2 linked regions of the Canis lupus familiaris genome follow. The protein of the gene in region 1 purifies or fractionates together with the protein of each later gene. This does not show direct contact. Links are inferred from orthologs where the notes say so. Each region holds a gene or a part of one and is shown on either strand. Other genes may lie near its edges. The genes, in order: SCLT1 and KIZ.

Region 1 (16,017 bases):
AGTTCTCAGTAATTAAAATGGTTCAGAAGTCAATTGTGAATTACTGAGGGAAATACAGTCCTCAGAGATTGACTTTAATCTGGAGAAAATTTTACTGTAACTACTATTTCCTTCATTCATTCAACACTTATTCCACTGTTGGACATTGCATTTTCTGGATTACTGATGAGACTGGGATTTTTCATTTTTTAGTAGTTCTTCAAATTTTATTATTTTTTTTTTTTGTAATGGCCTGTCATATTCTTTAACCATCTTTCTATTAGTATGAGTTTATTTTTGTGAAAAATCTTTCTAAATTTTGGCCGTTAAATCAAAATATCAGAATGGTTTTTCTATATATGTGGGAAAGGTATCTTTATTATTTTTTCTTTCCTATTTGGATAGCCAATTATCCTAGGACCATCCTAGCACTGATTTGTATTGTTCTTTCAGATAACAAGTTTCACATATATGTCTTTTCCTTGCTAATTTATTCCACTGACCTATGTATGACAATCTAATGTTGATTTAATAATTGGATATTTTAAGTCTTAATAGCTGACAGGTAAAATATCTCACCTTGATATTCTTTAAAACTCTCTTGGTTATTCTTAAGTCTTCCACTAGATTTTTATTTCTTAGAGAGAAAGAGAATGTGTGTACTAGTGGGGGTAGGGAGAAGGAGCAGAGGGAGAGAGAAAACCTTAGGCAAACTCTGTACCCAGTGGGGAGCTCGATGTAGGGCTCCATTTCACAACCCTGAGATCACGACTTGAGTTGAAATCAAGAGTTGGTCACCTAACCGACTGAACCACCCAGGTGCCCCTCTCCCACTAGATTTTAGAACGATACTGTTAAAACTAAGCTTGAGGGATCCCTGGGTGGCGCAGCGGTTTGGCGCCTGCCTTTGGCCCAGGGCGTGATCCTGGAGACCCGGGATCGAGTCCCACGTCGGGCTCCCGGTGCATGGAGCCTGCTTCTCCCTCTGCCTGTGTCTCTGCGCCTCTCTCTCTCTCTCTCTGTGACTATCATAAATAAATAAAAATTAAAAAAAAAAAAAAACTAAGCTTGAGAATGCACGGAATCTAATCATTAATCTGTTGAAGAACTGACATATTTAATATATTGAGTATTCTAATCTACAAATTTAATATGTTAGTGGTTTCTCCATTAACCTAGGTCTTCTTGATTGTATTCAGTAATTTTTAATGCTAACTATTACTGGGATGAACCCAATATGAAGACAATTATACACAGGCATATGTATACATATATGTACACATACAGACATTCATTACTGGATTAATATTTTACATAGGATATTTTTTAAGAGAGGGAGAGGCAGGAGTAGGGAGAGGGGAAGGGGAAGAGAGAATCTTAAGCAAGCTCCACACTCAGTATGGAGACTGATGGAGGACTCGATCTCATGAACCTGAGGTTATGACCCGAGCTGAAATCAAGAGTTGGGACACTTAACCTACTGAGCCACCCAGTCACCTCTTTTATGTAGGATTTTAGTTTCTATGCACATCAGTGAAACAGGCTCCCCTCCCCCCTTTTTTTCTTGCAAGTCTCTTTTTTTTTTTTTTTTTTAAAGATTTTATTTATTCATGATAGTCACAGAGAGAGAGAGAGAGAGAGGCAGAGACACAGGCAGAGGGAGAAGCGGGCTCCATGCAGGGAGCCCGATGTGGGATTCGATCCCGGGTCTCCAGGATCACGCCCTGGGCCAAAGGCAGGCGCCAAACTGCTGCGCCACCCAGGGATCCCCGCAAGTCTCTTTGTTGAGTAGACATTAAGAATATAGACATTGGAACTAGATGGCCTAGGTTCAAATCCCAGCTTGATCACTTTTTAGTTATGAGTTAACCTTGAGTTTGTGGTGGTACTTATCTAGAGAGTTGAGTTTTTTATCTATGGTTATTGAACAGCTGGGTGTGAGAACTATTAAGGCAACATAAACAACTAATTAAGGGATGAAGTATTATCCAGTATGTGCTACTCAAAAAAGCCGAGATTATAAACATATTAAGATCACTAACAAGAGAGTAGATCAACCGATGGGCAATGGTTATAAGCTGTATAAGAAATTAGTAAAAACAGAGGTAACTGGGTGGCTCAGGTCATGATCTCAGGGTTGTGGGACTGAGCCCCATATTCAGCTCCATACTCAGCAGGGAGTCTGCTTGAGATTTTCTCCCTCTGCCCCTCTCCTCATTTGTGCATAACACATGCTCACTCCCTCTCTCTCAAATGAATAAATAAATCTTTAAAAAAAGAGAAAGCAATAAAAACAAGCTGGGAAAGACTTAAGGATATAGAGGAAAATGAAGAGTCAAAGAACAGAAGTCTTGATGAAGCCAAAGAATACTTCTACCAGGAGTAAGAAACTTGTGTTTAAGATTTCAAAAGTAGGGTAACTTGAATAGGACTTCTGCTTATGTCCAAAATGAAGTAACAAGGACTACCTTCCCACTTATTACAACCAAAAGCAAATAAATAATGGTTTGCCAGACACTAGACAAGAGATAATGATGATGAGAGATGCAAAATAAATGAAGTGAGGCTTATAATTGCTCCAGCTTAATGACCTGAGAGAGAAAATTCTGGATATATGAAATCTGTGGAGGGTCTCTGTATACAACAGTACATAACAACAACAACAACAACAAAAACACCCAAAAAATACCATACAACAGACTACTGAGTAGCTCTTTACCTACTAAAGAAACTAAATTTACAGTTTAAAATCTTTCCACAAAGAAAACTCTAGGTCTTGTCTTTACTGGTAAATTCTACCAAGCATTTAAGGAAGAAATAATGTCAATTTTACATAAACTTTTCCAGAAAATTGAAGAAAACAAAATATTTTCCCACTAATTCCGTGAGGAAAGCATTGCCTATTACCAAAACCAGACATAGAGATGAGAAGAGGGAAAAAAGGCTTTATGAATATAGAAAATTAAAATTTTAAATAAACGTTTAGAAAGCCAAATCAAACAATAAAAAGGGTAACACATAAGAGAAGTCTATCCCCCCAAAAAGGTAATATGAAAATTAATCAATGTAAGTCAAAATGGAAAAAAAAATTCAATACTCTCAATAAACAGAGAAAAAGCATTTGAAAAAAATTCAAAATCCATTCTGATAAAAACTCTCGGACAACTAGGACTAGAAAGGAATATCCTCAATCATCTAAAAACGCCTCTGAAAAATCTACAGTTAGTATCATACTTAATTCTGAAAGACAGACGCTTGTACCCTAAGATCAGGACAAAGAAAAGGATGTCCACTTCAACCACCTGTGTTCAACTGTACTCGAAGTTCTAGCCAGTACAATAAAGCAAGGAAATGAAAGGCATCCAAATTGGAAAGGAAGTAAAAGTGTATTGACAGATGAAAAGATCATCTATGTAGAAAATCTGATAAACTTTGAAAAGAACCTATCAGAGTAAGTGAGTTTAAAAAGGTTGCAGGGTACAACATGAAAGAAAACACAAAAAAAGATGTATTTCTATATACTAGCAATGATAAATCAGAAATTAAAAGAATACCACCATTTATAATAGTATCAAAACCAGAATACATAGGGATCAATCTGATAAAAGGCATGCAAACCTATATACTGAAAACTACAAAATATTGCCAAGAGAAATAATAGACACATCAATGGAGAGAATGACGTGAGAGACTTTCAGGCTATGGCACAAAGAGGGAAAATGCAGGCAGAGATCAACCTTTTCATTGATAAGAGGACTCAAATATCATTAGATATGAATTCTACACATATTGATCAACAGAGTCAATGCAACGCCTCTCAAAATCTCAGCATTTTTTTTGAAGACATTGACAAGCTGATTCTAAAATCCACATGGAAGTGCAAAGCATCTAGAATAGCCAGAATAACTGAAAAAGAACAAATTTGAAAGGCTAACATCACCTGATTTTATGACTTACTATAAAGTTGCAATAATCAAAACAGTGGAACACTGGTGCTCAAACAGATAAAACAAGTCAATGGAACAGAACAGAGTCCAGAAATGGATGGACACGAATAAGGACAAATGACTTTTCGCAAAGGAAATCCAATGGAGAAAGGATAGTCTTTTTAATTGCATTCATATGCAAAAAGGTAAACTTTGATCCTTATCTTAACCTTATACAAAATTTCAGCCAAGTGGATCATAAATCTAAATGTAAAACCTAAAATTACAAAATTTCTAGAAAACATAGAAGAAAATCTTTGCAGCCTTTGATTAAGCAAAGATTACTTAGATAAGACATCCATATAAGAACAAATTGAGGGGCGCCTGGGTGGCTCAGTGGTTGAGCATCTGCCTTTGGCTCAGGGTGTGATCCCAGGGTGTTGGGATCGAGTCCCACATCAGGCTCCCCAGAGAGAGCCTGCTTCTCTCTCTGCCTATGTCTCTGCCTCTCTCTCTCTCTGTCTCTTATGAATAAATAAAATCTTAAAAAAAAAAAAAGAATTGAGAACCTCAACAAAATTAAAAACTTTTGGCCTGTGAAGAACACTTAAGAGAATGAAAAGAAAAAATAAGTTCATCTCCACTTCCCAAATTCCCACTACAAGAATGACTTTTTCATTTCTTAGCTTCATAAACAAGTATCTCTTTGAACAGGTCTCTAAGGACTATCAAATTTCCTTTCTCAGATGGAGGTGGGAGAATGGGGTCTTGAAATTATGCTAGGAGTTTACTAGGAGCATGACTGGGTTTGGAATTACCTGTAGTTTTTTGTAAAGCTAATGCTTTATCACAGGGGTTGCTACTTGAGAAACACTAAATCAAATTCTCTTGAGCTAGACTACCAAATCCAAATGGAACAAATGAAGAGACAATTAAGATCAAAAGAAGTCAGTGTAGTGAAGGTTAGAATAAGTGGGAGAAGGTCAAGCCATCTGTTTTCACCTCAGCTGTAACCGGCATCCTAGTTTCCATTTAAAAAGAAAACATGGCTGGCTCATTCCTCTAAAAATCATAGTTTTGGGGTGATTCAGGTACCCTCCCCACCCCAACCAAAATCCTTATCACCCAACTCTTGTCCCCCACTACTTGAGATGGAGGTCAGCCAGTCTTCCTTATGGGATGGCGGATATTCCCACTTCAAACCTAAAAAAGAATGCTAATGTATGGTATCATTATAGTCCATTAATTCTAAATTTTATAGCACATTTATTATGCCCTAGAAACCATGCTTTATTTACATCATTTCATTTAATCCTTATAACCCCACAAGGGTTATTGTGCTATTATTTCCATTTTATAAATGAGAAAACTGAAACACCAAGGAGCTAAGGAACTCGACAAAGGTCAAAGACCTGAAAAGAGATAAACTTAGTACATGAACCTAGACAGACTGAATCTAGGGGTAGAGTTCTTAACCACTGGTTTATAAAGCTTCCGAACTTACCGCTTTTTCCCTACCTTCCCTGTTGCTTAATGCAAAAACCTCAGTTGCCCCCTACCTCATCTCAAATTCCCTAATCTCCAACTTCACTGTACTACCTTACTTCACTTACTTGTGCGAATTAAGAATAGTCCCCTATCAGACTCTGCTAGAGCACTCAGTCCTCCTAACAGCCATTACCAGGCTTTCCAAATCAAATTCAATCATGCTACTCTCACGTGCTTTTCAGTGGTTCCTATCATCTGTGCAACGGTCCAAACTCAACCCACAGCAGACAAGGCCCTTCATTATCCAGTCCCATTCTTCCCTGTTCAGCTCCACTTGCTATTTGCCTAGATAAACCACACTCCATACAAGCCAACCTCCTTGCATACTCATCTCCTCAACGCTGCATACATGCTGCATATACCATTCTATTTGGGATACCCACACGGTTCTTGTCTAGCAGATTCGTATTAGTACTTCAAGCTTTAGCCCAAATGACACCTTCCTTGATCACAGTTAATAACAGTCCTTTAATAGTTAAATATGTTTAGTGTCAGATACTATGCTAAACCCTTTACGTATTTTAAAAGATTTTATTTATTTATTCGTGAGACACACACACACACACACACAGAGGCAGAGACACAGGCAGACTCCATACAAGGAGCCCAACCGGGACTCGATCCCTGGACTCGATCCCTGGACTCCAGGATCAGGCCCTGGGCTGAAGGCGGCGCTAAACCGCTGAGCCACCGGGGCTGCCCCAGCCTTTACATATTTTAATACTCCTTTAATCGGGGACAACCTGGGTGGCTCAGTGGTTGAGCATCTGCCTTCAGCCCAAGGTGTGATCCTGGAGTCCCAGGTTCTAGTCTCACGTCGGGCTCCCTGCATGGAGCCTGCTTCTCTCTATGCCCCCGCCCCCCCGCCACCCCAGGTCTCATGAATAAATAAAATCCTAAAAAACAAAACAAAACTCTCATTTAATCATTCCAACAACCCCATGAAGGAACCGAGGCGTAAGGGTTAGCACCTGCTGCCAATTGCGTGTATCTATGGAATTTACGGATTTCTTTCCTCAAATTAAATTCCTGGAGGGCAGGACTGTCCACCTCTTTGCAGCAGCGGTGCCTGTTGAGAGCCTGGCACGTACACGTAACCGAAACGGGACTTTACATAAACATCTCCTTACAAAAACGGCCACAACTGGGCAGCCCGGGTGGCTCAGCGGGTTAGCGCCCGCCTTCAGCCCAGGGCGTGACCCCGGAGGCCCGGGATCGAGTCCCACGTCGGGTCGGGCTCCCTGCGTGGAGCCTGCTTCTCCCTCTGCCTCGCTCTGTGTCTCTCTCTCATGAATATTTAAAAAAAAAACAACAAAACAAAACAAAACAAAAAAAACAGCCACAACTGTGCCTTGGGGAGACTCTTCCTGGCCTCTCGCCCCTCTGAGTTCTCCGGGGCATGCGAGGAACATACTAACCGCGTCCAGCTGAAGGAGGAACCAGGCGATGTTCTGCTTAAGCATATACGCACCCACCCACCCGCCCGCCCGCCAGGCTTTCCCGTAAAGCTGACTTGAGTTTCTCCAAAATTTCCATGCACCGAACGGGCATATTCGAAAATAGTAGCCGGTCGGCAACCTCGCCACGCAGGGTAACCATTTTCCACAGAGGGATACGGAGCTTACTTTGGTCTCTCAGAAAGTCGATTTCCGTGGCCATTTCCTTGGGATTTCACCACCTGCCACTTTCTTCCAAAAATGAAACAAAAAAAGAACAACAAAAGCGACCCGACCCCCCCCCCCCCCCCCACCACCACCAGAGCTCGCCGTGCGGAGACACAGGACAGAGCGACGCTCCGGGGCTTGTCAAGCTCTCGAGGGCGTAGGCAGCATCCTCCTCACGTCGACAGCCCCGCCGCGCCTCCTTCTCCCGAGTCCCAGCGCGGCCCCTCGACCGGGCAGCGGACTTCAGATGCCAGGCGCGCCGAGGATCCGCCACGTGAATTTTGGGGCCTCGTCCCCCCCCTCCCCCGCCCCGAATCCCGGCGGGGTAAAGCGCGGACGCGGGCGGCCGGAGGCGTCCCGCAGGTCACTCGGGGTCGTGCCGGGCCGCTCAGGACACAGCCTACAGAGCCGGCGAGCAGCCGGGCGGCGGCGTCCTGGGGGCAGCGTTCGGGGAGGAAGGCGGGGGTCGACTCCAGGACGCCGGCGAAACCCGGGGCCAGCCGCGGAAGTCCACTCGGCCCGCCCTGCGACTTTGAAACCGGTGCCCCGGGCCGCTCCTTGGAGACGGCGACGCGGCCTGCGTCATCACGTGGACGTCGGCGCCTGCGTCATCGCGCTTCCTAGAGTCCTTACACGCTATTGGCTATCGGTCCAGCTCTGGGTGGAGCTGTGAGAACCTGGAAGGCGGCGCGCGGAGCCACCCCCGAGGCGGCGAGCAGGCTCCCTCCCGGGGGCGAGCCCGCGGGGCTGTGCAGCGTGTGGGGTTTTTCAAGAAAACCCCCCAAGTTGTAAACGTAGGGAGGGCGTCAAGCACATATTTTAAACGCTCCCAGAATCTTTGATGCCTGGCACTTCTGCACTGAGGGAACCTGCTTGCTGGCCGCAAGGAGCGGGTTTGGAAAGTGAGTAGACGTCTGACTGGAGGCGGGGCCCAAGCTGGCGCCTTCCGAGGCCGCCCCCAGAGCGGAGCTTCTGGAGGATCTTGGAGGTGGGCTTGGTCTCCACAAGCTAAGTACGGCCCTGCCCCTCTGGGTCTTTAGGGGAAGGAGACAAGCTGTGTTTAGCTGTGTCAGGAAGGCGTACGTGTAGTTAGAGGTGGTACAAAGATCCTGCAAATCTTTGCTTCCTCAAAAAGAACAAAAAAGTTATTTTTTTTGTCAGAAAAAATTAGGCAGAACTTAATATCTGAGGGCAAAATGACAATTTCCAGTATTAAAAATTTTGTCTGCATTTAAGCCCTATCTTAAAATTGGAGGAATGGGCAGCGGCTGCGCATCTGCCTTCGGCCCAGGGCATGACCTTGGAGACCCGGGATCGAGTCCCGCGTCGGGCTCCCTGCGTGGAGCCTGCTTCTCCCTCTGCCTGTGTCTCTGCTCCTCTCTCTCTCTCTCTCTCTCTCTCATGAATAAATAAATAAATGTTAAACTTACTGGAGGGAGAGATTGAGTGGGCAAACGTCAACTCTTTCTTGAAAGGTCAGCGTAGGACTTTTTCATGAGCTCCTCCCCCGCTCCCCGAGGACTAGACTTTAAGTTCTCCTACATTTGAATCTGCATGTTGCCATTGGAGTTAATTTGGCATCAGTTATAAACTTAATTCCACACCTACACTAGATATTAATAAGATGTATTAGTGTTGGTGAACGCAAAGATCACTTTCTGGATATAAATGATGAGTGGTCTTTGCATTATGTAAATTAAATATCTGAAGTTGGAATTTTTATCTCTATACTTGAGCTATTTGGCTTATATGGTCAAGTTCAATGCAAATTACGGTATTGCGGTTTGTTTGGGAAGCTGGTTTGTAAGATTCTACTGGTTTTTGCATGGAGCTTTTACAAAATATTTTTCATCTTTATGAAACAAAATTGTCACGCTTCCACTTATCCTTAAAGTATCCCCTCTAGTGTTGCTTGCTTTTAAAAGTTCTCTTGTGTTCTCTACCCACTTTCCCCAAGGAGGGTGCTTCCTTAATACTTTGTGCTTCTTCCTCCATCCAGTCTCTATCATATTGTTTTGTAGTTTGTTTATAGGCTCCATTAGAGAGCCTGGAATCCAAGAAGGGTTCAAAAATACCTGATGAAGGAATTAATTTAAGGAATTTGGTGGATTGGAAAGTATCAGTGTAATTGAGTACAAGGAATGGGAAAATCATGTGTTTAACCATTCTCTAGCTCCAATTTCATTTTTGTGTGTGTGTGTGTTAGATATATTTCTTCAATAAAGGAAACTTTTGAGGGTATCCCTGGGTGGTGCAGCGGTTTAGCGCCTGTCTTTGGCCCAGGGCGCGATCCTGGAGACTCGGGATTGAGTCCCACGTCGGGCTCCCGGTGCATGGAGCCTGCTTCTCCCTCTGCCTGTGTCTCTGCCTCTCTCTCTCATTCTGTGTGACTATCATAAATAAAAAAAATTAAAAAAAGAAAGAAAACCTTTGAAAATTTATAGTTCTTACTAATATTAATTTGTTTAATAAATTGACATCAAGCAGCCAGTACCATGTGGAAAGAAAGCACCATGAAGAATACAAAGTTGGAAATTGAGCTATTGAGCAAGAGCTCATTTCCCTCTCCCATCAAATGATTTTTATAAAACAAAAATAATAGTTTTCGTAAAACAAATACGAAAGCTGCTTTCCCCCAAAGAAGTTTTTAAAAGTATGTTATGAGCAAAACATACTTATGCTAAACCATATGAAATTGTGATTTTTCTGCAGCTTCATATGGTGTACTTTAATACTTTACCTGAAAATAATTGAATAATGGCCATACACTAATGTAATATCTGCTGTTGCAGATCAGGAGAAAATGGTGAATTTACTTAAACATGTAGAATATATGCACAGTATTCTCAGAGTAGCTGTGAAGTTCAGGTCCAGTGACTGCTTGCTGAATTAAACCCACAGATCCCGTAGACATTTTGGTAACTCTCAGCAACCAAAATACAGAATGATTTTATTATTTAGAAATAGAGTAGTTCTGTAAATCATTGCCTTTTCTTGAGAACTTTAAAAGTTTATGTATGATTATGTTATGAATTTACATCTAATCCTGTATAGAAACAATAAGTTCACACTGTCTTGGGTGGGAGACACTAAATGAAGGAAAATAAGCTGATAAATACTGAAACTGTTGGAATAGGTAAGACTGAACCAACCAGAACCATATTTTGGGATCTCAAGGGTCATTTAGACTATCCTGCCTTATAGTCTAGTTTTAATAGGACAACCACTTAAGTAACCTATAATTTAAAAAATTTCAACAGAAAAATATTTTCTTTACGCAAACCTGTGTAGACTTTAATAATAACAGCTAATGTTTTCTGAGTATTTACTACATACATGCTAGGCACTGTCCTAAATACATTTATGTATATGTATATCCATTCACAAAATCCTTTTTACAGTGATTTGCTGGTGATCATAGTTGGAAAGTGCCTGCCTGAACTGGAATTTACAGCTCATTTTCAGATTATTACATGGTATTTATATTGCTGAATTACCCTTCCTTCTCCTTCTAGAAAATCACACAAACTTCAGTAGAATGATCAAAAGTTCAGAGGTTCACTTCCTTTTTTTCCTTTCCTGTAAAACCAGGACGAGTTGGCTTCAGTCCTCCACGCCCAACCCCCCTGGGATATGTAGGCAGCTGGGCGGAGCCTAAGGCTGAGCCCTCTTCAGTCACCTGCGCAGAAAGCAGCGAGCTGAGTGTTGAACGGAAAAAGAGCTTCCCGGTCTGTGTTCTTCTCTTGTTTAGCGTCCTTACCTCGCTTCTTACTTGCAGCTTCGCCCAGTCTTGTTAGCCTTTTCTTTGGTAACTTCTTTTTCAGCTGCTGCTTCTGCTGGCACAGTTTATTTACTCCCACTTTCCGACTGCTTCCTTTCTCCGTTTCTCTCATAAACGGGCAGGGGTGCAGGTGGAAGCAAGAATGCAAACTGAAATATAATTATAGGAAACTAAAGGCAATTTCGTGAATAGAAGAATTTGGAAATTTCCCTTGTAAAACGTTCTGAGAAAACATCTTTTCCATTACTTCCTTCTTTTAACCTTTGTGGAATGTTTTTTGTCTCCTGGACATTTAGTGTTCTGCGGTTCTCTCCTTTCTCAACTTTCCTTTTAAAGGCCTCTCCATAATGCAAACAAGCATGAAAATAATTTTAAAATTGGAACTTTTTTTGGATGAAAGAGTAATTTGAGGAATAGAAGTTAAAATGTGGAAAAACACAGATTAACGATAAACATTCTTCTAAGGAAGTCTAAACAGCCAACATCAAAATTGCATAATAGGCTGGTGATCACCTTGAATGAATATATTCCTTCAATAATATTCCCAGTATTCATTCTGACATTTAAGAAATGTTAAGCATATATAATATAGAGAGGAGGTATATATCACATGGACTTTAAAAAACACTTTTTAATCATTCATTTATTTTTTAATAGTATAAAATTCAGGCAGTTTTTGTTGTTGTTGTTTTAAGTAATAGCAGTTGAAAATAAGCCTCCCTTGCTCTCTTGTCTCCAGCAATTGCCTCATAAGAGGTAACCACTGCCACCACTGGTTTCTTGTCTGTGCTTTCTGAGATAGTATATGCATTCACAAGCATTTATGCAAATAGTCTTCTTTTTCAATGAAATAAGTTCATACATTTTGCACCTTGCTTTTTTTCCCTTAGTATATTTTAAATATATATAGAGCTTCTTACTCTTTTTTAGCAGCTACATAGTATTTCATTGCATGATACAGCATAATTTCCTTACCAATCCTGTACTTATGGGTATTTAAATTGCTTACATTATTTTGTTATTGTAGACAGTGTTGCAGTGAATATCTTTATACTTATGTCATTTTGAATATGTGCAGGTGTAATAACTCCTAGAACTAGAATTGTTGAGTCAAAGGATATTTGCATGTTTTGTTTTGATAGATTTTGAAGGATTGTTCTTCACAGAAGCTGTGCCAGTTATGCCCCAACAACAATATGTGATTGTTTTTCATTGTTTTGCATTATCACATCATGTTATCAAATTTTCCAATACAAGAAAATAGTAATTTATTGTTGCTTTAATGTGCATTTCTATCATAAATGAGGTTGAACATTTTGCATTTACCTTTTGTTAACTGTTTTATCCTATTTTTCTGTTGGGGTATTGATCTTTTCCTTATTAATTTCTAGGACCCCTTTAAGCACTGAAAAAGTTAGTTATTTGTCTGAAATATGAGTTGCAGATATTTTTTCCCCAACTGTCTTTTGATTTTTGTAATAGTGAGCTCTTTTGGGTGGGTGAAGGCAGGTCTTTGCTTTTAGTTTTGTTAATTTTATGCAGCCAAATGTATCATTCTTTTCTGTCTTTTGAGTTTGGGGTTATATTTTAAAAGGCTTTTTCAACTATAACATTGTCTTAAAAATTAATTTTTCTCTTATAATATGGTTTTTATGTTTAAATCTTTGATTCATTTAAAACTTAGTTTGGTGGGGCACCTGGGTGGCTCTGTCAATTAAGCGTCTGATCCCAGGGTCCTGGGATCAAGCCCCACATGGGCTCTCTGCTCACCTATGAGTCTGCTTCTCCCTCTTCCTCTCCCTCTTTTATGTGTTCCACTCTTGCTCTCTCTCAAATAAATAAAATCTTAAAAAAGAAAAACTTAGCTTGGTGTAGGAATCCAACTTTATCAAATTGGACTATAAAATAAACCAATTGATAATATAGACTTTGTTGGTTTAGCTACATGAGACACATCCCTAACTCCCCTAGGCTTATAGTTAATTTCCCTAACACCTGGTACAGCACCTGAAACAAAGTGAGTAGGTAACCTTTGATAAACTAAATTGAAAGGAAGTTTCTAGATATGACATATTATCTTAGTTACTTGCTATTGTTTTAACTGAAAGAGAGTGATACCATGAATACAATTGATTTATTTTGCAGAAAACCTTAGAATCATGAAGTTTTGGATCCAAAAACTAGGAGGATTATTCACTTGACAAATAAATGATGAGTTCATATTACTTACAGGCTTTCTGGCTGGGAATGGGGAGACAATAAACAAACATGTCCTGTGGTATAATGCTGTGAATCAAAACTGAGCAATGTACAGGCAGCAGAGAATGATAAAAAGTAGAGTGGGGGATGCACACTAGCATAGGTCACAAAGGACATTGACAGTTGAATTGTCTATTTCATATGAGCACATGTGCATACAAAATTGAGAGGCACTAAGAATTAAGTTTCAAGAGAGAATAGTAAGTATCCCCGGTCCCCAGGAAGTTGAAAGGAGAATCAGTTGTTTCTCTCTGGATCCAACATTATCTTTAGATTACATTGTAAACTAGTGGGCAGGACTATACTTTTTAGGTTAATTTTGTTATAAATATTATGCACACTTGGATTAACATTAGTGTTCTTTAAGCAACTTAACAAATTTGTCACTCTAGTAGGAAATTAAAATCATTTTATGCAGTCAAAGCCAAAATTACATTCTACCCTTGTCAGCCATGTCAGCCATGGCACTCCTCCCAGCAGTGGAAGTATATTCAATATTTCTTGCATTAATTTCTTTTTTTTTAATAAATTTATTTTTTATTGGTGTTCAATTTACCAACATACAGAATAGCACCCAGTGCTCATCCCGTCAAGTGCCCCCCTCAGTGCCCGTCACCCATTTACCCCCACCCCCCACTCTCCTCCCCTTCCACCACCCCTAGTTCGTTTCCCAGAGTTAGGAGTCTTTATGTTCTGTCTCCCTTTCTGATATTTCCCACACATTTCTTCTCCCTTCCCTTATATTCCCTTTCACTATTATTTATATTCCCCAAATGAATGAGAACATATAATGTTTGTCCTTCTACAATTGACTTATTTCACTCAGCATAGTACCCTCCAGTTCCATCCACGTTGAAGCAAATGGTGGGTATTTGTCATTTCTAATGGCTAAGTAGTATTCCATTGTATACATAAACCACATCTTCTTTATCCATTCATCTTCCGATGGACACCGAGGCTCCTTCCACAGTTTAGCTATTGTGGACATTGCTGCTATAAACATCGGGGTGCAGGTGTCCCGGCGTTTCATTGCATCTGTATCTTTGGGGTAAATCCCCAACAGTGTAATTGCTGGGTCGTAAGGCAGGTCTATTTTTAACTCTTTGAGGAACCTCAAAGGAAAAACCACAGTTTTCCAGAGTGGCTGCACCAGTTCACATTCCCACCAACAGTGTAAGAGGGTTCCCTTTTCTCCACATCCTCTCCAACATTTGTGGTTTCCTGCTTTGTTGATTTTCCCCATTCTCACTGGTGTGAGGTGGTATCTCATTGTGGTTTTGATTTGTATTTCCTTGATGGCAAGTGATGCAGAGCATTTTCTCATGTGCATGTTGGCCATGTCTATGTCTTCCTCTGTGAGATTTCTGTTCATGTCTTTTGCCCATTTCATGATTGGATTGTTTCTTTGGTGTTGAGTGTAATAAGTTCTTTATAGATCTTGGAAACTAGCCCTTTATCTGATACGTCATTTGCAAATATCTTCTCCCATTCTGTAGGTTGTCTTTTAGTTTTGTTGACTGTATCCTTTGCTGTGCAAAAGCTTCTTCTCTTGATGAAGTCCCAATAGTTCATTTTTGCTTTTGTTTCTTTTGCCTTCATGGATGTATCTTGCAAGAAGTTACTGTGGCCACGTTCAAAAAGGGTGTTGCCTGTGTTCTCCTCTAGGATTTTGATGGAATCTTGTCTCACATATAGATCTTTCATCCATTTTGAGTTTATCTTTGTGTCTGGTGAAAGAGAGTGGTCTAGTTTCATTCTTCTGCATGTGGATGTCCAATTTTCCCAGCACCATTTATTGAAGAGACTGTCTTTCTTCCAGTGGATAGTCTTTCCTCCTTTATCGAATATTAGTTGACCATAAAGTTCAGGGTTCACTTCTGGGTTCTGATTCTGTTCCATTGATCTATGTGTGTCTGTTTTTGTGCCAGTACCACACTGTCTTGATGACCATTGCTTTGTAGTACAACCTGAAATCTGGCATTGTGATGCCCCCAGATATGGTTTTCTTTTTAAAATTCCCCTGGCTATTCGGGGGTCTTTTCTGATTCCACAGAAATCTTAAAATAATTTGTTCTCTCTGAAGAAAGTCCATGGTATTTTGATAGGGATTGCATTAAACGTGTACATTGCCCTGGGTAACATTGACATTATCACAATATTAATTCTGCCAATCCATGAGCATGGAATATTTTTCCATCTCTTTGTATCTTCCTCAATTTCTTTCAGAAGTGTTCTGTAGTTTTTAGGGTATAGATCATTTACCTCTTTGGTTAGGTTTATTCCAAGGTATCTTATGCTTTTGGGTGCAATTGTAAATGGAATTGACTCCTTAATTGCTCTTTCTTCAGTCTCATTGTTAGTGTATAGAAATGCCATTGATTTCTGGGCATTGATTTTGTATCCTGCCACGCTATCAAATTGTTGTATGAGTTCTAGCAATCTTGGGGTGGAGGCTTTTGGGTTTTCTACGTAGAGTATCATGTCGTCGGCAAAGAGGGAGAGTTTGACTTCTTCTTTGCCAATTTGAATGCCTTTAATGTCTTTTTGTTGTCTGATTGCTGAGGCTAGGACTTCCAGTACTATGTTGAACAGCAGTGGTGAGAGTGGACATCCCAGTCTTGTTCCTGATCTTAGGGGAAAGGCTCCCAGTGCTTCCCCATTGAGAATGATATTTGCTGTGGGCTTTTCGTAGATGGCTTTTAAGATATCGAGGAATGTTTCCTCTATCCCTACACTCTGAAGAGTTTTGATCAGGAATGGATGCTGTATTTTGTCAAATGCTTTCTCTGCATCTAATGAGAGGATCATATGGTTCTTGTTTTTTCTCTTGCTGATATGATGAATCACATTGATTGTTTTA
Region 2 (15,879 bases), on another chromosome or scaffold:
AGAGCAGGCCCAGAGCATCCCTTTGTTTCCAATCCTTCTAGTTAGGAGTACTTGTTGAACCCTGATGAGAAGTGCATCCAAGTGGCAAACAATTATGAAATCCACCAAATGACTTTTGAGAAGAATCTTAGCATGCAAATATTGTTCATGCATGACACCAGCACCCACACAGATTCAGGGCTGCTGCTCACCTCCCACAGTTGCAGAGCAGTCCCTGCCAGACAGAACCAAGTCACCATCCAGTCCTAATGAAAGAAAAGAGTACATACAAGGATTTAGTGCTGCAGATCTATTGCCTCTAAGGATTCCTCTCTGTCAACAAAGGGATAATCCTGAAGGTCTCACGGAAGCACAAATTCAAGGACTTCATGGAAATCATAGGTACGCAAGAGCTGTGAGACAAAATGCACCGGTCTCATTTAAGAAGTCTATAGTTAGGGGGCACCTGGGTGTCTCAGTTGGTTAAGCAACCAACTTCTGATATCAACTCAGGTCTTGATTTCAGGGTCCTGAGTTCAAGCCCCATATTTGGGCTGCATGCCCAGCATGGAACCTACCTAAAAAGGAAGTGGAGGAAGAGGAGGAAGAGGACGACGACGACGACGATGACGACGATGACGCCGACGACGATGACGACGATGAAGAAGGAGGAGTCGTCTCTAGCTGGAGTCATTTAAATGCCCTGTTATTCTATTTCTGGCTGTTAAATTTAGCTTTCACAGAGCTTGTGTATTTTAGAAACCCACATAGTAGATGTTGACTTACATGATATGAAATAAAATGAGGAAATCCATGTTTTCACTTTATTTATTGGAATTTGCACTCAATTCTTATTGTTTCAAATTAGCTGTTATAAATGCCTTTGAACAAAATGCTCTCAGTAAGCATGCTCTCCTGTATTATTAGTCCAGGTTCTCTGGAGAAACAGAACCTATAAAAAAGATGATAGATAGATAGATAGATAGATAGATAGATAGATAGATAATCTGGAGAGAGAGAGATTGATGTATTTTAAGGAATTGACATATTTAATCATAGGGGCTAGCAAATCCAGCATCTATATGCAGGCCTGCAGTTTGGACATTTCAGTAGGAACTGATGCTGCAGTCTTGAATCCAAAAGCAACTTGGAGGCAGGATTCTTTTTTTCCAGGACCTCCAGTCTTTTTTCTTAAGGACTTCAATTGATTGAAAGAGGCCCATTCAATTGTGGAGGACAATTTGCTTTACTCAAAATTTATTGATTTAAATGTTAATCACATCTTAAAAATACCTTCACAGCAACACCTAGACTGGTATTTGACCAAACAACTAGACACCATGGCCTAGCAAACTTGACACATAAAATTAATGATCACACTGCCTCTCTTGAACACCATCACCTCCCACCAAGGATGGCACCTCACATTCTAGTTCCCACCTTTCTACCTCCTCATAACTTATGACCTCCCCTTGTGCTTATGCATCTTGTCACTTTCTCTCTAGATCTTCATTGTCTGACATAGTAGCCAGTAGATACACATGTACTGTAAAAGTTAAATTTTAATTAAAATGAAATGAAATCTAAAATCCAATTCCTCATTTGCACTAGCTGCATATCAATAGTCACATGTAGCTATTGGCTACCATATTGGACAGCACAGAATAGAACCTTTGCATTATTGGTGAAAGTCTCATTTAACAGAGCTACTCTAGATGCTTCTTCCTCAGATATTGACAATCTCAGAATTCCAGGTTTGTAGTCTTCTTGACCATCTGGATGCTCCTGTAAATCCTCTTTGATAATGTTGTGGAAGGGCATTTGGATGCACTTGTATAATTGTTCAACAGAATGCTGTGTATGAATCAGGCTAAGTAATGCCAGCTGCTAAAACAAACAACCTCAAAATAGCAATGGCTTAACACAATAAAGGCTTATTTCTTGTCCAAGTCACATCCTCTGCTCTTTGCAGTCATTCCGTGTTCTTCCAGAGCCACAGTGTTCTCCACTGGAATCTGACTGTAGTGGGCCAACAAACAGAAAATGGGGAAGAGAGTATAGAATATTTGGGGGTCATCCTTAGGAGTGGCTGCATCACTTCCACTCACATTCATTGGCCAGACTGGGCCATATAGACCCATCTAACTGCTAGAAAGCATCAGACATGTAGTGCCAAAGAGGAAAATGAACCGAATGGTGAACACATAGTGCTATATCACAGCATGTAGAAAATTGCATTTATCAGTGAACACTATTCCTCCAAACAATGAAACATGTCTACATAAAAACCCTCCTGCATACATTATAATTTTACACATCTCATACAGAAAAATAAAAAGTATCAGTAGGTATTGATGAATAATAGCAAATAGTGAGTTTCAAGGCCATGTAGAATGGCGGTTAAGAAAGGATGGACTTTAGAATTAGAAAAGGTCTGTGTTTGAATTCTAGCACTACTGCTAGCTGGCCAAGAACATACTGACAACATAATCTTAGGCCAGTTGCTTAAACTTGTGGTGCCTTCAAAAGGACAGTCCTGGGGTTTAAATGATGCAACAAATGCTTACACCAGCAAATGCTGTGACAAGGAGGGGTTACATAAACATATACATGTGACAGCCTCTTCTATCTTTTTTTTCACTCCTACGTTCTACTTTTGAGTCCTCTCTTCTTACAAACTGTATTTTCTAATAGCATAGGATGCAATGTCTAATATTTTGGTAGAGTGATGGCAAAATGAAATAATTTTCCATGTTTGGTTTGTTGTAGGTTTAGTTGTACCCCCCCCCCTCACAAATTCATATATTGAAGTCCTAACTCCTAAAACCTCAGAATGTGACCTCATTTAGAACTGGGGTCATTGCAGATATAATGAGTTAAGATGAGGTCATACTGGAGGAAGGAGGGCTCTAATCCAACTGACTAGTATCCTTATAAAAGGAGACATTTGGAGACATGCATGCACACGGGGAGGACACAACGTAAAAATGAAGTAGAGATCAGGGTGATGCATCTATGAGCCAAGGAATGGCAAAGATTGCCAACAAACCACCAGAAGCTAGGAGAGAGGCATGAAATAAGTTCTTCATAGCCCTCAGAAGGAGCCAATCCTGCCAACACCTTGATCTCAGACTTACAGCTTCCTGAACTGTGACACAATAAATTTTTGTGGTTTAAGCCACCCAGTGTGGGGTACTTTATTATGGCAGCCCTGGCCAACAAACATAATATCCAAGCAGTTATTGACTCAAATATACAGGATCCATTTGTAAAATGGCATTTAAAAATGTAAAGTTTAAATTGTAAAATTCCAATTTCAACATATTTCCAAAACCAATTTTCCACTCATAAATCTGTTTTTGAGCTTACAAAATCAGCAGTTTTTCTTTTCTTTTAAGATTTTACTTATTTAGGGATCCCTGGGTGGCGCAGCGGTTTGGCGCCTGCCTTTGGCCCAGGGCGCGATCCTGGAGACCCGGGATCGAATCCCACGTCGGGCTCCCGGTGCATGGAGCCTGCTTCTCCCTCTGCCTGTGTCTCTGCCTCTCTCTCTCTGTGTGACTATCATGAATAAATAAATAAAATCTTTAAAAAAAAAAAAAGATTTTACTTATTTATTCATGAGAGACACAAAAAGAGGCAGAGACATAGGCAGAGGAAGAAACAGGATCCCTGCGGGGAGCCCAATGCAGGACTCTATCCCAAGACCCCGAGATCACACCCGGAGCCAAAGGCAGATGCTCAACCACTGAGCCACCCAGGTGTCCCACAAAAGCAGAGTTTCATATGGATCATCCTAGGATCCATGATTACAGGGATAAAACACTGTCTTTCCTTGCTGTATGTTTAGTGGGGCTCCTGGGAACCCATATTTAGAACTAAATTCACTAATACCACACAGCTGTGGCCCTGGCCAAGTCCCTTACCTACCCTGAATCCTTTTCTTCTTCTAAAAAATAAAGAGGTGACAGATTCTCTCTTTCACCTATGACATTCGGTAGCTTATAGGAAGCCTTGTGGGTCCAGGCAGACTTGTAGGCCTGCAGTCCAGGTAAGTGAAAACAGAGCTGCTTATAGAAATCAGCTCTACTAATATAAAGGGATTTAAAAATAATATTGAAAGACCATACTACAGCAAATTAAATTTCTAAGTAAAGAACACTGAATTTATTAGAAGTGTCAACATTCAGAATACATAATTTTAGCATACTCTAGAAATATTCACTTAGTTTGCTATATTTTGTTTTTTTTTCTTTTTTCTTTTATTTATTTATTTTTTTAGATTTTATTTATTCATAGAGACACACACAGAGAGAGAGAGAGAGGCAGAGAGAAAAGCAGGCTCCATGCAGAGAGCCTGACGCGGGACTCGATCCAGGGTCTCCAGGATCATACCCTGAGCTGCAGGCAGCGCTAAACCGCTGCGCCACCAGGGCTGCCCTATTTTATTGTTAATAAAGAAGGTTCTATATCTAGATTTGTCATATGTCATTAATAAATCATTTATAAAATGCAGATTATAATTATTTTGAATTATCTATTTACTGTTTAATTATATTTAAGTTTAGGTTCCCCTAAAATGGCCTAATAAAAATTTGAGATGCTAAGTGACTGCTTCATCTGCTTACTCTGTGTATTTGCTGAAAATAATTAGTTATATTAATTGAACTTTTTTTTCCTTTAAAAAACACATCTGGGTGAGGCTGAATCTAAATAAAATATGCTAAAAATATGCATTATTTTTGCCAGTGTGGTGGGTAAAATGTAGTTTGCACTAAAATGAGCAAAATAAACCTTTGTACATGACCATAGAATCAATTTGGTATAATGATTTGATATAACAACTAAACACAGAGTATTAGTACTACCCTGAGAACCAGGCAAGAGGACCCCTGCCTTGGCTTCTGTATATTAATAGAGTCTGTTCTGGCCCTTTTCTGGCCATGCTACTCCACACAAGGGAAGAGGCCCCAGTATATACTTGTCTGGAACTCACATACACACACACACACACACACCCTTCTTCTTTTTTTTTTTTTTTTAAGATTTTATTTATTTATTCATGAGAGACACAGAGAGAGAGGCAGAGACATAGGTAGAGGGAGAAGTAGGCTCCATGCAGGGAGCCCAATGTGGGACTTGGTCCTGGGACTCCAGGATCACGCCATGGGCTAAAGGTAGACACTCAACCGCTGAGCCACCCAGGTGTCCCCACGCACACCTTTCTTAGAACACATTCCAGGTAAGTACCACTCTGACATGCTTTGCTCAAGGCCTTGGAGCTTGGCAAGCTCCAAGGCCTTTAGAGACCTCTTTCCTGGATCATTCCTGAAAGGGTGACTATCACTGGTGGGCTCACCATTAGGCTTGGTGTGTGGCTATGAGAGGCTAAGGTGGACTGGGTTGGGGGACACATACATTCCTGTCTGTTAGGAAGCTCCTCACAGTGCTTGATTGAGCCTCAAGTGGTAGAGGGTAAGTAGGGGAAGAAGTCACAGAACTAAATCCCCCTGTGGCTTTCCAGGTTATTAGGAAGGCACATTGGTCAAGGTAGGAGGAAAGAACAGTTTATCTACAACTTGTCATTGTGAGTTATAATCATTTCATACTTCAACAGATAGCATGAAGGCCTCCAAGTACTCTAGCCCTGGACCTAACAAATAAGAAGAGCAAGCCGAGTAACATCATAATTGTATATTGCCAACCTTTAAGTGGTCCATCTATCTCGCTAATGATCAATTTGCTACCTTTAGTCACACCTTGCACATAAGAATAAGTGAAATTAGTGGCTGAGAAAAGAAACCAAGTGAAGAATAAGAGACTAAAGAAACGCTATAGTGTAGTTCTTCTTCTACTCTGTGGGTTTGGAATATGTTTTTCTTCAGGAAGCTTATGCCCCAAGATGATGACAGTCATAAAAAGTGATGTTTACTATGTGTGGGGCCCTTTTATAAGCATTACACACATTAATTAGTCATTATAACAATGGCATAGGTGGGTCCTGCAGTAACAGCCTCCCCATTCTACAAGAGGAAGTCTGGGCATGGAGAGAGTGACTTGCCTGCAGTCACACAGCTAGGTGGAGGAAGAGGAGATTCGAGCCCAGGCAGTCTGGCTCCAGAGGCTCCGCTGAAGGATTCGACAGGGCGTTTGTCCACTGAGTCACGTCTGCGCAAACAAATGTCTGCTTCACAAGCAACTAGTTAGCCACTCTTCCCTCTTCACAACCACATCCTTGGGGCAGCACGGACTTTCCAGCAAGCAGCTGTTCTTTTTTTTTTTTTTTTTTTTTATGGGGGAATGTTTTATTAAGAATAAAAAAAAACACACACACAACTTCCTGATAACATTTTAGAGCAAAAATGAATAAAGAAGATGCAATATTTCCCATAACAATATCGAAGAAATAACATCAATGAGTCCAGAAAATATCTTTAGGAGATAACATGGTGTCACTTTGCAGAGTTCTGGGTGAAATCTTTTCTGAATCACCAAATTCAGACATCTGTAAAACAATTTCAGATTAAGTTGTTAATTTCTGTTTACATCCAGTTTAGAAATTACCATGATGATTTCCCTCCATTTCTTAGAAAATGTATTTCAATAAGAGAAACTTGACGTTCTGGATTGGTAAGTACCCTTTGAAATTCCCAGAGATTAACCTAAAGAAAAACTGCAATATCTGTGTGTGTGTGGCAGGGGGCGGAGTATATGTGTAGGCGCCCCAGAAGCATGACACCCAGCATGTTGTGGACTTGACCATTTCCATCCAATTCCGCAGAATTGCTGGTTCACCACATCAGCCCAGGAGGAGGACATATCCTCATTTCAACAGACACCTCCTCAGGGTCCTCTGCTGTGGAGGACAAGTCTCTGAGTCCATGAGCTGTCTCATTCCCTATGAGAGTCTTCAGAGGATGGGGATACCTGCAGGTCTTCTTAGAGAACTCTCGAGGGGACAGGCACACAAGTTCCCTCACTCTGAATGACACAATAAACTATTGGTCAAAAGAAACACAATTCCCAGACATAGAAGAAACTCTGATACTTTGTATCTTTAATCTGCCTTCGATACATGAAAACCTACGAAAAAGTGTGATTTGTTGACCAAAATTCCTATTTTCCTTTACTTTCCAGTAAGCATGACCTTTCCAAATTTCCATATAGAGTGGAAATACATTATTGAGCCCTTAAATGCCAGTGCAAATGATGAGACGTTACAACTGCACATCTACGGTCACACTCAGAGGCATTTGATTGGTCATGCAATAATTTCCATTCCACAATGAATTTGTCAGTCTCTTCTGTAAGAAATACAATGATAACACAGAGCACCTATAACCTGGCATGAAAAACCATTTTGCTAGATTCATGAACTTGGCACTGTTTTCCTGAGGTATAAACCGAGGTCAACATTGAAGTTGAAGTGACATGAAATCCATGAGTCCACCTCTTATGTGTCAGGAGGTGTCACAAAGGGGGTGGTAGCAAAATCTTCCTGAAACCTTATATTCACTGGGAGGCGGGGCAACTCCCTTGGGATAAGGGTCCTTGTCAGTTTCCTTGTCTTCAGTCTTAATATAGGAGGTAGGGAAGGGAACATGATATAATCAACGTGGTTCAAGTAGGCTGGATGCAGTTATCTCCTGAAAAATAGACATTTAATTCCTTTTGTACCATTTCCAAGCCACGACCAAATGTGTCCATATTTTTGGGGAGACTTCTCCATCTACATTTTGTGCAAGTAAAACTTTGCACACTCATACATTATTGTTTCGCAAGCAGCTGTTCTATTGTCAGGGCTGAGCGCAGAGTATTTTGGGTTGTCTTCTTTTATGGTGTTTTGTTCTGCCTCTTAAGTGTGGTAGGAAACAAAGTTTAGTGCAGCGCCCCGCTCAGAAATCCTGAAGAAGGGAGGGAGAGGTGGTAGGAAGGAGAGGATGAATCCGGGAACACTGGTGCAGCTTGATGCCGCGGGCGGAAATAACCTACTGAACTGCTCCTACCCAGCGGCGCTCCCCACAACCCCTCAGCCTCTACCAAGGTCCTCACGGAGGCTCCCGGTCGCGGGGAGGGCCAGGGTCTCTCCCGCGAGAATTCTGAAGGGCGAGGGGAAAGGGAGACGCCAGACTCGGGAGAGGGAAGCCGGGGAACCGCGCCCCCCCCCCGCCCGGGCCGCGTCACCCACGCGGAGAACCTTCCCAGGGCCTCCGAAGCTGCGCGCGCAGCCTCACAGCACGCCCCGCCCCCGCCCCGCCCCCCGCGGCGCCTGCCCCGCCCCCCGCCCCGCCCCTCCGCGGCGGCCGGCGCCCGGTTTACCGCGGTGCATGGTGGGGCCGTCGCCCCGGACAACCCGGCCCCCCACCCCCGCCCGGAACGCGGCTGCTCCTCGGCGGTGCTGGGGCAGGGGGCGCGGCGAGGGCGGCATGCGGCCGGCCTCCCCGCCTTCAGCGCCTCCGGCGAGCTCCGACTACCACGAGAGGCTGGGCCGCCTCCAGCGCGGGCTGCGGGACAGGTACGTCTCCGGGGCCGGGGCGCGCGGGGTGGGCCCGGCCGGGGGTCAGCCGGCGCCCTAACTCCGCGGCCTCGCCACCCACCACCCCCGCCCACCCCCGCCGTGTTTCTCAGAGCCCGGGTCCGCCCGGGACGCTCCCCAGGCTCCCGGTGCGGCCTAGAGGACAAAGTTCCCCAAATACGGTGCCCGCCGTCCTCACGGGAGGGCTCCCACCGGGAGATGCGGCCGCGTCACGCAGTTTGCCCAGAAGCGACACTGGGAGTCCTCTGCCTGCCACTCTCATCACGCCTCGTGGATTTCCCTACTTCCCTTCTACACGCCTCCTCCCTTGTCTCTCCTAAGATCGTCATCCCTCCCTGACAGCTGCACTGCATCAGCGATGACAGCCTGGGCACGCAGGCGGGGGAGTGTGTGTGAGAGAGACAGACACAGAAAGACAGAAGCATCTGCCCTGTTTGAATGCAGGAGACATTTTTTGGGGCGGGGGGAACGAGGGCTGGCCGGATTTCCAGCAAAGAGGTGACATTTACAGAAGGAGAAGTCCAGCTTCCAGAGGGTTCGTGATACTTTGATTAAGACGTGAAGGATGAGAGCCACTAGATCTAAGAGCACAGAGAGAAAATTATAAAGCAATTTACTATAAATAACCACATAAAAGATAAATTGTTGGAACTGTTATTCAGCTGCTAAATTAATTGGAGTTGGAAATCTCATTAGTTGACAAGAAAGGAAATAGATATTTGGATCTCTTGATAAACACAGCGTTTAATGAATGTTAAAAGTTACAAAATCATTTCAGTGAAGAGGAGAGCTTTGTGTGTGGCAATTCTAAAATGACAATGATAATTACATATAAGGTAAAGGCAGTAATAGGTGGTTATAAAAAGGAATTATATTCATCTTAGCCTCGATTTAATTCTTGTCAAATATTTATAGAACATCCGCAACAGGCCTCCTTAATTGCCCTCACCATATTTTACCCCTTGATCCTTTTCTATATCCTATTTTCTTTCTGACATACTGCCACTCACCCACTCCAGGGACCTCCTCACCTCCAACTTAAAAAAAACAAGACAAAACAAAAAAACAAAAACAAACAAACAAACAAACAAAAAAACACTTCCTGCAGTGGTTTCCCTATGGCAAGTATTGATCATCCCATTCCCTAATTTACGTTATCTCTATTTTAATACCACTGTAGATAAATGGCTTGAGTGACTTGCTCCCTGCTTAGAGAGAGAATTCCAGGAGGACAAGAACCATATTTAGCTGTATCTTTAGCTGGTAATAGAGTACCTGAGGTGGAGGAGGAGCTTGACAAATTGTTGAGTGAATGGCAGAGATCCTAACGTCAACCAGCCAGGACCCAGCAGTTTTGAATGTCACGTATACAACACTGTAGCCACACATTGTCACTAAATCTTGACGATTTACCAGTCAACCAGGGAAAGTGAAGAGTATGAGATTTCAAAAATGGTATTATGTCTGCACATACCTTATAATTAAAGGAGAAGACACTGCTCTGCACATCAGCACACCTAAAGTGCTTTTGCTCTGTTAGAAGAGTAGCTTAGTGTTCTTAGGCCTTTAGTTACTTGTATCTCTTAGCCCAAGTTCTAATTTTAAAATGTTGCTGGTTAAAAAATAAATAAATGAATAAAAAATAAAATGTTACTGGTTTAAATGGCATTCTTTTTGAACTAAGTTCATTGTGAGGTATCATTTTTACTTTCTGTGCTAGGAACACCTGGTGGTTTATAGTCCTTATGGTATAATAACTGTGTAATGATTAGTACTCACTTTATGTTTAACACTTAAAATGTTTTAACTGTTAATCAAGGTGAGGCTGTTGAAATTATATAAGGAATTCAAGTAAAATTTTGTAGCCTATTCATGGTTCTACACTTGGAGGTTTTTAAAAATTGTTAAGTTGGTACAAAACTGTTGCTATGTGTTTTCATCTTTCATTTAAAAAAATATTTTTTTTAGAGAGGAAGTGTGGAGGGGCAGAGGGAGAGAGAGAGAAGCCCAAGTAGGCTCCTCGCTGAGCGCGGAGCCTGACATGGGGCTTGATCTCACTACCGTGAGATCATGACCTGAGTGGAAATCAAGAGTCAGATGCCTATCCAACTGAGACACCCTGGTGCTCCTTATTTTTCATCTTAAAAGTCCATAACTAACTTCTCATGCATAGTAAGTACAGAGGCATATAACTTTGGATGCAGAGAAACTTGGGTTCTGCTCTACAAAGAATTGTGTGACTTTGAGCAGGTTGTTCAGCTTCTCTGAACCTTGGCTGTTCACCAGAAATGAGGAGCACTGAATTACATGTATGGTAAGGCCACAGATTTGTTTTTTCTCTAGTAATGAGCTTCAAACTAAAAGAGTTGAATGTTGTAGTTTTACAAAGAAACAAGTAATGAATATCATTGTTTGTATCCTATTTGAGTGTTTGAATGTACCTGCTTTTTGTTTAGTTTTGTTTTTTAATCACTCTCACTGACTCTAAAACTTCAGAGTCATTTTAAAGGCTGCATCCCTGGGTCATCCCAGCTGCTTTATCAGTCCAGAAATTTCCTGGGGGTAGGAGATAAAAACAGCCTGCCCTTTTCTGGCCTTCTTAGAGCTGGCTCACTGATGGTCTAATATAGCTGGTCTAATAACTGGGCCTTTCCCTGGTAAGTAGTATATTTCTAGCCCAGTTTGTCTTAGCTGAAGTCACACATAAATGTACTTTTACATTCTTAATTTTATCCTCTTTGAGTATGGTGTTTTCTCTGCACTCGGTGAAATCAATCATAGAATCTTAAAGAGCCTGCTGGAGTGACTTTGTTACAGTGTGTGTAGTGCCACATGCATGGTAGAAACATGTGAGTGGAATTGACTCTTATAATTATATAAAAACATCCCTTTAAAAGGCCCATTAACCAGTTTTTTCAATGCCAGTATTGATTCAGAGTGAGATATCATAATAGTCCAGAAATTGATTCTGAGATATTAGCTAAGTGAAGCTGAAGTTGGTATTGAGACAAAAACAGAATAACAAGTGCTTAAAAGGAGAAAAGGGAATCATGTGGCTACACTCTTAAGGACTAGCAGCTGTGTAAACCTTTGAATGGTCGAGGTGAGGGATGCAGGTGACTAAAACCATGGACTGTATTATGGGTATACATCCCAGGGTTGGGTGTTTCAGAGATTCTGAGATAAAGATTTAGTATGTAGGGGTTGCAAGGTCATCTTCCACATAAACCTTTCTCTGGCTTTTTATTGGAGTAAATATCTTGTTTTAAGTCTTAAATTTAAAATAGAAATGAAAGACAGCATTCAGAAGCTCTGAAGCGTGGATGAGGAGGTTGGGAAAAGGGCCTGTGATGAGATTAATGAGATTAGCATCATGTTGTACGCAGTGGAAGGCCAGGAGGTGTTTGTAGTTTTTCACCATCTGAAGCGCCATAATAGGTAAGTGTGACTGGCAGATGTGTTTATCTACTGAAGACAGAGGAGCAATGAAGAAGTTCTATGTTCATGATTAAAAAAGAACTTGCGGCACAGGTGGTGATGGATTCCTAAAAAGACTGTGGTCGTTTTTCACTAGAGGTTGTAGGTGAATTTTTAAAATTATTTTGAATTAAATTCAAGCTCGCAAAAAAGTTGCAAATATAGCAGAAAGACTTTTAGTATTTCCCTCACCCAGATTCCCACTCTTAACATTTCATTATATTTTTTCTGTTTTTGTCTATCTGCCTGTCTAAAATTATTAGTCTTTTCTGAACTATGTGAGAAACTGCAGATAATGATGCCCCATTACTCCTAAAAACTCAAGTGTCTATTTCCAAAAATAAGGATGTTCCCTGACATGGATGCACCCTATGACTCTCCTAGTGTGGAAATCAACGCTGATACCAGTCCACAGACTCCAATCACATTTCACTACCTGCCTATTTTGCCAGCTGTCCTAAGACTGTTTTTTTCTTTTCTCTTTTTTAAGATTTATTTATTTATTTATTCATGATAGACAGAGAGAGAGAGAGAGAGAGAGAGAAAGAGAGAAAGGCAGAGACACAGGAGGAGGGAGAAGCAGGCTCCATGCCGGGAGCCCGACGTGGGACTCGATCCCGGGACTCCAGGATTGTGCCCTGGGTCAAAGGCAGGCACTAAACTGCTGAGCCACCCAGGGATCCCCAAGACTCTTTTTTCTTTTCTGGACCAGGATCCCATCTGTGTACTCATTTGTTACATCCTTTCAGTCTCCCCCAGTATGGAGCTATTCCATAGTTGTTTCCTATCTTGTATTCTGACAATTTCATAGAGTCCAACTCTATTACCCTTCTAGAGGGTAATCCTCAAGCTGGATCCATCTAATGGTTCCTCATGATAAGACAATGATCACACTTTCTTGGCAGGAATAACACAGAAGTGAAGCAGGATGTCAGGGCACAAGGTCACAGATACACTTAAGGGTCCTTCTGTCTTTGTAATTTAATGATAGATGGCTCACTGTTCATTCTTCATTAACTAAGTATCCTACTAATCATGAAATTTTAGAAGCCGCCAAAGTGACTAATAAACAATTCTAACATGGAAGCAATTATGCCATATTTACTTCTCTTCTAAGTTCACTCTTATTTTTTTAAATTTTAGTTTAGTTTAAATTCAGTTAACATATATTATTAGTTTCAAAGGTAGAGTTCAGTGGTTCATCAGTAGCTTATAACACCCAGTGCTGCTAATCATATCACATGCCCTCCTTAATGTCCATCATCCAATTACTCCAGCCCCCCACCCATCTCCTCTTTAGCAACTCTCAGTTTGTTTCCTAGAGTTAAGAATCTCTTATGGTTTATCTCCCTCTCTGATTTCATCTTATTTTATTTTTCCCTCCCTTCCCCTATGGTTCTGTTTCTATTTTTGTTTTTAAGATTTTATTTACTTATTCATGAGAGACACAGAGAGAGGCAGAGACACAGGCAGAGGAAGAAGTAGGCTCCCCTTGGGGAGCTTCATGTGGGACTCGATCCCAGGACCCTGGGATCACGACCTGAGCCAAAAGGCAGAAACTTAACCACTGAGCCACCCAGGTGCCCCTTTATTGTTCTGTTTTGTTTCTTAAATTCCACAGATGACTGAAATCATATGGTATTTGAGCTTCTCTGACTGACTTATTTTGCTTAGCATAATATCTTCCAGTTCCATCTACATCATTGCAATCTCTCTCTCTCTCTCTCTCTCTCTCTATATATATATATATCTCATATCTTCTTTATCCATTCATCTGTTGATGGACACTTGGGCTCTTTGCATATTTTAACTATCATGGACATGGCTGCTATAAACATTGGGGTGCAGGTACCTCTTTGAATCTCTATGTTTGTATCCTTTGGGGTAAATACCTAGTAGTGCTATTGATGAGTCATAGGGCAGCTCTATTTTTAACTTTTTAAGGAACCTCTATATTGTTTTCTAGAGTGGCGTGGCTGGACCAGTTTGCATTCCCACCAGCAGTGCAAGAGGGTTCCCCTTTCTACAGCCCTGCCAACATCTGTCATTTCCTGACTTATTCATTTTAGCCATTCTGACTGGTGTGAGTTGGTATCTCATTGTGGTTTTGATGTGTATTTCCCTGATACCTAGTGATGTTGAGCTTTTTTTTTTTTTTTTTTTTTTTTTATTTTTTTTTCATGTGTCTATTGGCCATTTGTATGTCTCCTGTGGAGAAATGTCTGTTCCTGTCTTCTGCCCATTTCGTTACTGGATTGTTTATTTTTTGGGTGTTGAGTTTGATAAGTTCTTTATATATCTTGGATACTAGCCCTTTATCTGATAAGACATTCTCAAGTATCATCTCCCATTCTGTAGATTGTCTTTTGGTTTTGTTGATTGTTTCCTTTGCTGTGTAAAAGCTTTTTATCATGATGAAGTCCCAGTAGTTCATTTTTTATTTTGTTTCCCTTGCCTTTAGAGACTTGTTTAGCAAGAAGTTGCTGCAGCTGAGGTCACAGAGGTTGCTACCTATGTTCGCCTCTAGGATTTTAATGGATTCCTATCTCATGTTTAGGTCTTTCATCCATTTTGAGTTTATTTTTGTGTATGGTATAAGTACCTCATACAGGAATTCAGCAAAGTGGCAGGATATAAAATCAATGCACAGAAACCTGTTGCATTTCTATACATTAACAATGAGACAGAAGAAAGAGAAAATAAGGAATTGATCCCATTTATACAATTGCACCGAGAACCATAAGATACCTAGGAATAAATCCAAAGAGGTAAAGAATCTGTACTCTGAGAACTGTAGAACACTTATGAAAGAAATTGAGGAAGATACAAAGAAATGGAAAAGCAAGGGGCAGGGCAAGATGGTGGAGGAGTAGGGTCCCCAAGTCACCAGTCCCCACCAACTTACCTAGATAACTTTCAAATCATCCTGAAAATCTGGGAATTCGACCTGATATTTAAAGAGAGAACAGCTGGAACTCTACAGAGAGAAGAGTTTGTGCTTCTATCAAGTACAACTCGTTTTTAGCCACTCTGCACTAAGCAAAATGACTAGAAAGAGGAACTCACCACAAAAGAAAGAATCAGAAACAGTACTCTCTCCCATACAGTTACAGAATTTGGATTACATTTCAATGTCAGAATGCCAATTCAGAAGCACCATTATAAAGCTACTGGTGGCTCTGGATAAAAGCATAAAGGATTCAAGAGACTTCATGACTGCAGAATTTAGATGTAAATCAGGCTGAAATTAAAAACAAATGAGATGCAATCCAAACCGGAGGTCCTAATGACAGGGTTATTAGGGATAGAGAGAACATTCCTTAGCATCTTAAAAGCCATCTACGAAAAGCCCACAGCAAATATCATTCTCAATGGGGAAATACTGGGAGCCTTTCCCCTAAGATCAGGAACAAGACAGGGATGTCCACTCTCACCACTGCTATTCAACATAGTACTAGAAGTCCTAGCCTCAGCAGGCAACAAAAAGAAATAAAGGCATTCAAATTGGCAAAGAAGAAGTCAAACTCTCCTTCTTCACAGATGACATTATACTGTACATAGAAAACCCAAAAGACTCCACCCCAAGATTGCTAGAACTCATACAGCAATTCGGCAGTGTGGCAGGATACAAAATCAATGCTCAGAAATCAGTGGCATTTGTCTACACTAACAGCGAGGCTGAAGAAAGAGAAATTAAGGACTCCCATTTACAATTGCACCCAAAAGCATAAGATACCTAGGAATAAATCTAACCAAAGAGGTAAAGCATCTATACCCTAAAAACTGTAGAACACTTCTGAAAGAAATGGAGGAAGACACAAAGAGATGGAAAAATATTCCATGCTCATGGGTTGGAAGAATTAATATTGTGAAAATGTCAATGCTAC

Evidence for each region.
Region 2: the proteins of SCLT1 (region 1) and KIZ purify together in Homo sapiens (co-immunoprecipitation; 3 studies listed by BioGRID and IntAct, counting the BioPlex papers as one, with this or other methods). This does not show direct contact. The link is inferred for Canis lupus familiaris from reciprocal best matches to the Homo sapiens genes SCLT1 and KIZ.

The regions. Positions count from the first base shown.
Region 1 is NC_049240.1:12,801,308-12,817,324, reverse strand, and holds the start of SCLT1 (sodium channel and clathrin linker 1), read right to left. Parts: upstream 7,202-16,017; 5' UTR 7,113-7,201; coding exon 7,079-7,112; intron 1-7,078. Other genes in the region: C19H4orf33 (UPF0462 protein C4orf33 homolog), read left to right, coding at 7,959-8,019, 10,709-10,845. UniProt on the Homo sapiens protein: Adapter protein that links SCN10A to clathrin. Regulates SCN10A channel activity, possibly by promoting channel internalization.
Region 2 is NC_049245.1:2,683,475-2,699,353, reverse strand, and holds the start of KIZ (centrosomal protein kizuna), read left to right. Parts: upstream 1-8,282; 5' UTR 8,283-8,306; coding exon 8,307-8,494; intron 8,495-15,879. UniProt on the Homo sapiens protein: Centrosomal protein required for establishing a robust mitotic centrosome architecture that can endure the forces that converge on the centrosomes during spindle formation. Required for stabilizing the expanded pericentriolar material around the centriole.